Sus scrofa: one gene and its partner. The protein of the gene in region 2 interacts with the protein of the main gene of each other region in a pairwise test. Links are inferred from orthologs where the notes say so. Each region holds a gene or a part of one and is shown on either strand. Other genes may lie near its edges.

Region 1 (4,562 bases), on a different chromosome or scaffold from region 2:
GAATCCAATTAGGAACAATGAAGTTGCAGGTTCGATTCCTGGCCTCACTCAGCGAGTTAAGAATCTCGAGTTGCTGTGAGCTGTGGTATAGGTCGCAGACGTGGTTTGGATCCTGCATTGCTGTGGCTGTGGTGTAGGCTGGCAGCAGCTGTAGCTCCGAATGGATCCCTAGCCTGGAAACTTCCATGTACTGCAGGTGCTGCCCTGAAAAAAACAAACAAACAAAAAACTAGCAGAATTAAAAGAGACTGGAGTCCTTAGAGAATAAGAGTAATCCTCCCATTTACCTCCAAGACCATGGAGCCGAATTCCTTATCTTTGTACAGCTGTTTAGCACAGGCCAGGATGGTGGATGTCTTTCCCGTGCCTGGAGGACCATAGAGAAGGAGGTGCGGAAGGCGGTCCTCACTGATAAACTTCTGAACTGAAGATTGGGGAAAAAGAGAGACACTGTCAGTCTCTGAGAGGTGCCTCATTCACCGTGGGCCCTTGAGTTGGGCTGAGTGCACTTCAGTCCTATGTTCAAAGCTGGGGCAGGTTTAGGAATGAAAAATCTGACTCAGGGAGTTCCCGTCGTAGCTCAGTGGTTAATGAGTCCAACTAGGAACCATGAGGTTTCGGGTTCAATCCCTGGCTTCGCTCAGTAGTTAAGGATCTGGTGTTGCCGTGAGCTGTGGTGTAGGTCGTAGACTCGGCTCAGATCCCACGTTGCTGTGGCTGTGGTGTAGGCCGGCGGCTACAGCTCCGATTAGACCCCTAGCCTGGGAGCCTCCATGTGCTGCAGGTGCAGCCCTAGAAAAGACCAAAAAAGAAAAAAGAAAAAAAAAGAAAAAAAAAAAAAAAAAAAAAAAAGGAAAAATCTGACTCAGTTGTTAAAGCCACATCCTATAAAGCTCAGTCAGATTCTTCAAAGTTATTACTCAGCAGAGACAACATTCCTAGGTCCTGCAGCTAGGATACCAGCAACTGACACATAGATACTTACTAGTACTCAGAATGTCCTGATGAGAAATGAGATCATCCAGTGTCTGTGGCCGGTATTTTTCAACCCTGAAATACAATTTAGCATAGATTACAACATATATAAATACAAGAATATCTTGTTACATGCAAAAGAATCCTTTCATATCCTAACTAAAAGAGGAAGAGACACAAAATCCTTTAACCCAGTGGTTCTCACCAGGGGCAATTTTGTCCTCCAGCAAACTCCTGATAATACCTGGAGACATTTTCCACTGTCACAATTGGGTGAAGGATGCTACTGGCGTCTAGTGGATAGGCACCAGGGATGTTGTTAAACATCATACAATGCACAAGATAACTCCCATGCCCTCCCTCAACTCCAAACATCTGGCCCAAAATATCAGTAGTGTTGAAAAACTGCTCTAATTTCACCTTTCCAGATGTCTGCCTAAAACCTCAACATGGATGGGTATCTAAAGTTAATCCAAAATTGAACTCATATCCAAATATAAATCAACAGATGAATGGATTTAAAAAAATGGTGGTATATCCATACAATGGAATATTATTTGGCAATAAAAGGAAATGAGCTGCTGATATAAGAAAAAAGCCAGTCACGAAAGGCCATTTATTGTTTGATTCCATTTATATGAAATATTCAGAACAAGCAAATTCACAGACAGAAGATTAGTGGTTGCCAGGAGATGAAGGAGTGGGGAATGGGGAGCCACTGCCAGTGGGTATGGAGTCACTTGGGGGTGATGACAGTAGGATGGTTACACAACATTCTGAATGTACTTAATGCCACCTAATTGTACAGTTTAAAATTGTTACAAGTGTAAATTTTATGTTATGTATTTTATTATGACTAAAACCAAACATAACTTGTTATTGGAAACAAAAGAAATTTGAGTTTTCTGAAGTCAAGCCAAATCCCATCAGTCTTTAAACCATGAGTTGTAGAAGTAGGATGGTTAAAAGTGCAAGTTCTGAATCTGGACCACCTGGTTCAAATCCAAACCTATTTCCCAACTCTGGACCTTAGGCAAGTCATTTAACCTTTTGGTAAAACGGGGATTAACAGTACCTACTTCGTAGGGTCTTTGTAAAGGTCAAACTGTAATAGGGTGCCCGCTAATCTGACAAAATCATCTAAAGAAAACTTAACTAGGGGACTTTTTTTTTTTTTTTTTTTTTTTGGTCTTTTTTAGGGCCGCACCATGGGAATATGTTAATTCCCAGGCTAGGGGTCAATGAGAGCTGCAGCTGCCAGCGCAGGGGACAGCCACATCAACGCAGGATCCGAGCAGCATCTGCGACCTACACCACAGCTCACCACAACGCGGGTTCCTTAACCCACTGAGCGAGGCCATGGATGAAAACCTGCGTCCTTATGGATACTAGTTAGATTTGTTTCTGCTGTGCCACTATGGGAACTCCAGCACTGGTACTATTAATCTTCTAGTTTAGAATTTGACCAGTAATCGCATGGAGAGAATATTTTGGCAAGAGAGAACATTTTGCCACGGAGGCCAGTGCAAAGTCTGGGAGACACGGGATCGAAGCCCTGTGTTGTCACTCAGTCTTCTGGCAACAGGAAAGAGGGCCAGTATGAGACATGGGGGTGCGGGGTGAGGGCAGCTGGGAAAAGTTCTAAATAGAATGGAGCGTGACTGGGAAGTTGAGGGTGTTAAGGCGCGCAAGTCTGTGGGCGGCGGGGCGAGGTCGGGCTGAGGACCAGCCCCTTGACCACTCCGGCCTCCGCCTCCCCGCGCGGCCCACCCCCTTGCCTGCGGCAAACGGTCCTCGACCTACCAGGGCAGGTTCCTGATCTTGGTTGCCTCGGGCTGCTGCTGCTGCTTGTGCGCTGAGGTCTGCATGATGGGGTGATGAAGGTGTCCAGGTCCAGTGACGCCGTCTCGTCCCTCAGGGGCCTGCCCCGCGAGCAACCGCGAACCTGGCCCCGCGACCCTAGAGCTTAGAGTTCGCGCGCAAAAGTAAGTGTCGCGATATTTAGCTGCCTGCTTCCGACTTCCTCCGTTGGTCCCGCCCCCTCCCCGTTGCTAAGGCCCCCGTTGCCGGGTTACTAGAGGTGCCCGCAGCCCGCCTAGCTCCGACTCCGACCTCCTAGCTCGAGTTGTGCTGTCTCTGACGCGGTTCTGAGCCTAGGGGGACAGGGAGCAGGAGAGGGCAGACCACCCGCTGCGGCCGCCTATCGTCATTACGAATTAAAGTCTCACAGCCAAAGCCAATTGCAGCCATAAACTAAGTTCAAACACTTACTGTTCAAAGGCACAGAAAGCTGCCAGCGCAAAAAATCCTGAGGAAAAACCACTCCCAATTGACAAGGCCAGTTCTTGAATATAGATACAGTATGAAAAAAGACTCGAAATACTTTTGGCCCCAGAGCTGGGAGGTGAAGTACTTCAAATTGGAAAACAATTACAAACAACTCCATTCTGTCTCCCAGACCTATGTCCCTCGCCCAACGAAATTTACAGAACCGACCTCCAGGAATGAACAAATAAATAGGTAAATCACTCCGGTTAGATTAACTTGTATAACTAGAAAGGCCTAGTTAGTAAACATACAGGACAGGGTCCCTTTGATCTCATATCAAAATGCTAGTATTTTTTTCTGAGGTGAGGGGATTTTGTTTTCTTCTATTTTGCTGGTCTGTATTTCCCAGAAATGAGTGTGTATTACATTCATAATAAAGTTTTTTAAAAACGTGTGGAGGAGTTCCCACTGTGGGGCAGAGGGTTAAGGATTGAGTATTGTCTCTGTGGCCACTCAGGTTCGATTCCTGGCCTGGGAACTTCCATATGCTGCGGGTGCAGCCAAAAACAAAACAAAAAACATGTTGCAAAAGACAACAGTTCTGGGAAGAGATGAGTGGCCTGGGATCAGAATTGTTCTGATTCAGGGAGTTCCCATTGTGGCTCAGCAGTAATGAACGTGACTAGTATCCATGAGGAAGCGGGTTTGATCCTTGGCCTTGCTCAGTGTGTTAGGGATCCCGAGATGCTGTGAACTATGGTGTATGTTGCAGATTCAGCTAGGATCTGTCATTGCTCTGGCTATGGGAAGACCTGCAGCTCCAGCTCCCAATCGACTCCCAGCCTGGAAACTTCCATATGCAGCAAGTGTGGCCCTAAAAAGAAAAAAAGAAAAAAAAGTGTTCTGATTGAGAATTAGCTGCTTTGGGCATCTTACTCCTTCACTGCGGCCTGTTTTAGGAGCAGAGTAGAGGGACAGTGGGCAAATATACAATGGCATTTATGGCTTCACCCTGGCCCCTACTTGAGGAGTCAGAGAAAGGGGGTCAGATGTGGCTTGTGATATGACAGTGCCCTAATCTCTGCTTCCTCCTAACAATGGCTGTGCAGATTGCCAGGATGCAACTTTTTTCCTCTAAATTCTGGGCAGGTTACTTCTCTCCTCATCCTCATCATATCTACTCCAAGATGGTTGTAAGGATTAGATGAAATAATCTAAGTAAGCATCCAGTGCATTCCACCTTCCTCTCTCCTCCCCTTCCAGCAGGCTCTCCACCATCCTGCTCTTGTCGCAGATATTTTCTTTCAAATAAAACCTAA
Region 2 (4,512 bases):
TGCCCCATTCCAAATCAGCCAAACCAGGGGACTCCAGGCAGCCTTTGTGTTGGTTTGTCTTTCCTACTAAACTATAGGTTACCTACAAGGTGGTGTCTTTGTCCCCTGTGTTTTCAGACTCTATCCCATGGTCTTGTACATTGTGGTTTCCCAGATTACATACAGAGTGTGAGGCAATAGGACATGCATGTGGGTGTTGGAGCACATGGCAATCAGGGCAGGGAGAAGGTCATCAAAGTGAGACTGGCTAGGGACAAGAGTCTGACCATTCCGGTCAGGATAGACCATTAGGACCAGATTCAGTGAGGACCCCTCATAAGAATGACATGATGAAAACTTTATTCTAGGATCCTGATCTTGGGTTTCAGGCTAAATAATCTCAGGTCTCAGAGTGGGGTGAGGGGCAACATGAGGCCAGGTACTTGCCAAACCCCTCTGGCCCACCACTTACCTTGTAGCCTTGGCACGCGTCTTCCACCAGAGTTGTGGCGTGCCCTCTGTGCTGTGGTCCCCGATCACAGCGCCAGCAGATGAGCTTGCCTTCATTCTCACAGAACAGATGGAGCTTCTCTCCATGTTCCTCACATGACATTTCCTGGTCCATCTCCTTGATGGCTTCAATGAGGCCTCCCAGCTGCACGTTGGGTCGGAGGCTTGACATTTTAAATGGCACCCGACACTGGGGACAGGAGAATGTCTCCAGCCATGGCTGCATTCGGCAGAGATTCTCAAAGAAGTTCACAATGCACGAGTGGCAGTAGCTGTGTCCACAGCTGATGCTCACCGGCTTAGACATGAGGTGCAGGCAGATGGAGCAAGTGGCTTCCTCCCTCATCTTCCTGGTGGTTGTGGTTGAGGCCATGGCTTTTCCTGAAAAGCTCCAATATTGGATTTAGAGGCAGAGAAGAAGCAGCCAGAATTTTCCCACCATGTTCAGAAATTACCTCACCTGAGCCTCTGTGATGCACTGGCTACCACTGGCCTCCACAGGTCATGAGGTCTTCTTTCTAGAGAAAAGGAATAGATTGGAATTTAGAAAATGTGTACAATGTAGCTTTGTTGTGGAGTATGGTAGCCATTATTACCTGTGGCTATTTAAATTAATTACAATTAAATAGAATTAAAAATTCCTTTCTCACACCCACTAGCCACATTTCAGTTATTTAATAGCTGCAGGTGATGGATAGCTAAGATAGCCCAGATATGGAACATTCCATCATTGTGAAAAGTTTTCTTGGACTAAGTGCTGAGAGAGAGAGACAAGGTAGGCCTCCTCAGCAAAGTTGCAGCAAGAGAGAGAACTCAGTGAGGGACTGTCAGACTCTTTCCCACTCTAATAAAGGTTGAGAATAACTAGTACCAGAATTATTTCTTTGTAACTGGTAATGACACTTAGGTAACTGGGTGGTCTATGAAGATTCCATTGAAACAATCCAATTTGACTCTAATTAAACTCCCACTCTTACCCACAAAGAACCATAGACACCAGCTTAATAAAATCCCCAGTGGAGACACAATCAGGATGATAGTGAAAGTAAAAAAGACATCCAGAAGAACCAGGGAACTCTATTAGCCCTCCCTGACCTGACAGAAAGAGAATTAGAAAAAGCTGGGGGAGTTCCGTTTGTGGCTCAGCAGGTTAAGAACACAACTAGTATCCATGAGGGTATGGGTCCGATCCCTGGCCTCACTCAGTGGGTTAAGGATTTGGCGTTGCCATGAGCTGTGGTATAGTTTGCAGACGCAGCTCAGATTCTGCATTGCTGTGGCTGTGGCCTAGGCAGGCAGCTGCAGCTCCAATTCAATCCCTAGCCTGGGAGCTTCCATATGCCGGGGATGCGTCCCTAAAAAGAAAAAAAAGGGGGAAGAGAAGGGGTTGGTTATGGGTAGCAGAGTTCCTGGAGAGCTAGGGAGGTTAACTGTTGCTTCTCCAGAGCAGGACCTGACTCTCAGGAGAACTGCAGGGTGACTGGAGCACGGGAGTTTGCAGAAGCCAGGATGTGGGGACATAGGAAGCAGATGGGGAAGGTAGGGCCTCTGTGGGACCCTGGGTGCTGGACCCCTGGTGTCCTTCAATGAGGACCCGACAACCCAGAGACTTTGGAGGAGGGAACAGGAGTGAAGAAGTCAGCCCTTTACCCACTGCTGCAGCTGCTTCGGGACCCCAGCCCTGCTCCCTGCTTGCCTACTCCTGGCAGTTGGTCAGGGAGGGCAGTGGAGGCTGGAGGAAGTTTAGAGAGTGACCTTTCTTTTGAAGTGACAGTACCAGAATTAAGAGCAGGGATTCAGCCAAAGTTACTGGAGAGGCCATTTCCCTCTAATAAGTAGAACCGGGCTCATGGAGCCACAGAGAATTTCTTCCAGAGACATCTGTTCTTTGGCAGGTTATCTCGCCCAGAAGGTCCACTAGGCTCCTCTCTGCCAGGGATACTGTGCTCCTGGGGAGAAGGACCTACCTCCCCTCCTCTGAGGCCCAAGGGTGCCTGTCTTGGGCCTTCACTCACCTCACACCCTGGATCTTCTGAGACTGGATGTGGAGGGTGGGAAAGGAGAAAGCAGACAGGGTGTGAGAGCTCTGAAGCCAAGGCCTGGCCATTTTCAGAGTTCCAGCAGGCTCTGTTCTCAGAAAACAACCCCTACCCACCCCGCGGCCGCCCACCACCACACACTCACATGCACATGTCTCCTAGCCCTCCGCCAAGAAAACCTGGGCCTGGACCTTTTCCACTCCCGTCACCACAGATAGTCACACACTCTCTGCTAGATCCCTCCGTAGCAGCCAGGAAGTTCACGCAGGCTACAGAAACTCAGAAGTGAAACTACTGTGGGAGGCGGAGCTCTGCCCAGCTGAGGAGGAAACCAGTGAAAATGTGCCCATCTCTTTTGCACTCTGCTTATGCTGAAAGGGAGGGGAGATGCTAAAGAAATTTTTTTTTTTTTTTTTTTTTTTTTTACAGCAGTAAAAGGGATGGATTGGTAATTCAGGAAGTTCTTTTGTGACTCTAGCACAGAGGATCTAAACCCAGGAAGTCTGCAGAGTTCACAGACTCTGACTTGAGATCTTTCTGCTTTTGCCACCAAACCCCTTGGGATTCATAACCTCCCTGGCTGATGTTACGTTTTGCTATTTTTAGGCTGCTTGTTGTTTTATAACTGCTCTGAAGGATGTGGTGAAAAAAAAGGGGTGGTACCATAATGGGGCTCATTGATGGCAGAAAATTTCTCCAGGCAGTCTCCCATTCTTTGCCCTGATACCCTGTCTCATCTGCCTCCTCAGTGTCCCTGTGAAAGATTCTCATCCTTATCAACAGTCAGAGTTGGGCACCAAGGACAGCAAACGGAACCACTAATGGCCCAGCAGTTAGTGGCCTCAGCTGAGAGCCATGTGAGCTGGGAGCATTGCTCAGTGCTCTCTGGGGGTCTAGGGTTGAGTACTTAGTGCCTCAGCTCCAGCCTCTCCAGTTCAAAATAGAAGCAAAAATACTGGGCCCACCCAATTTAGAGTTATTATTTAATGTGAAAAAACTAACTCAAAATAAGACCTTGCCACATGCATAACCTTAGGTGTAAGAGGTATTTGTGATAAGTGCACAGTGTTTGCTTAGGAAATAAATACATGCAGTGGCCCAGGGGAGCCAGTAAGGATGGCTAAGGACACAGGCAGGAGAAGTTAAGTTTGGATTCTGAGAGCTGCCTGGGATGAACTCTGGGTCCTGGGCCCCTGGCTGGGTGGGTCAGTTGCTGACCCTGGAAGTTCATGGTCTGTGCTAAGGGCATTGGACCTGCAGCTGGAGACTGGGGGGAACTTGATGCAGCCACAGTCCTGCTGGTTCAGCAGCTCAGGCTGGAGGCAAAATTGTGAAACAGCTTCCTCTCTTCCCACCCAAACAGGAGTCTCTCTTCAGCACTGCATCCTCCTGGCTGTTCACAGAGCCTTTGGCCGTTTTGCCACCAGGTGACTCACAGTGCCCTGGCATGTCCTGTGGTAGCTGGCCCCACACATGGTACAGGACACATCTACTCCCAAGGCAGCCAGCATGCAGACGGAAGAGAAAGAATGAGACCCCGAATCCTGACCCAATGCAGACTCTGTGCAGATTCGCACGACTTTCATTGTTGTGGATGCGACTCTGGACCCAGCTCATCCCAAATGTGTCCTGTCAAAGGATCAAGAAAAGGAAGCTAGTGAATGCCACCGAGTAAACAAACTACTGCTACCAACAGGCAATGACAACAAGACCAAAGCATCAACCTCATGCCAGCATCTGTCCTGTGACAGCTGCCCCATCTTGTACCTGTTTCCGTTGCATGAAGGAGGGACTGGTTCACACAGAGAGCTGTGGGTCTTGAAGGCGAGAAGGATGTAGGTGAGCCTTTGTGCAGAGACTTGTTCCTCAAAGCTGAGCCCAGACAGACACTAATTGGAGCTGCTCCCCCTGGGGAGACATCACCTCCAGTAAGTGAGGCTGGGCTTGACCCTGTGAGTCTGGACTGTAGGAAGCTAAAGCCCCA

What was found.
Region 1: the proteins of TRIM38 (region 2) and RFC5 interact in binary tests that used the Homo sapiens proteins (3 or more experiments, as listed by UniProt). The link is inferred for Sus scrofa from reciprocal best matches to the Homo sapiens genes TRIM38 and RFC5.

The regions. Positions count from the first base shown.
Region 1 is NC_010456.5:34,639,620-34,644,181, forward strand, and holds the start of RFC5 (replication factor C subunit 5), read right to left. Parts: upstream 2,980-4,562; 5' UTR 2,844-2,979; coding exon 2,779-2,843; intron 1,051-2,778; coding exon 986-1,050; intron 425-985; coding exon 288-424; intron 1-287. UniProt on the Homo sapiens protein: Subunit of the replication factor C (RFC) complex which acts during elongation of primed DNA templates by DNA polymerases delta and epsilon, and is necessary for ATP-dependent loading of proliferating cell nuclear antigen (PCNA) onto primed DNA.
Region 2 is NC_010449.5:20,680,917-20,685,428, reverse strand, and holds the start of TRIM38 (E3 ubiquitin-protein ligase TRIM38), read right to left. Parts: upstream 2,894-4,512; 5' UTR 2,674-2,893; intron 1,008-2,673; 5' UTR 863-1,007; coding exon 452-862; intron 1-451. UniProt on the Homo sapiens protein: E3 ubiquitin-protein and E3 SUMO-protein ligase that acts as a regulator of innate immunity. Acts as a negative regulator of type I interferon IFN-beta production by catalyzing 'Lys-48'-linked polyubiquitination of AZI2/NAP1, leading to its degradation.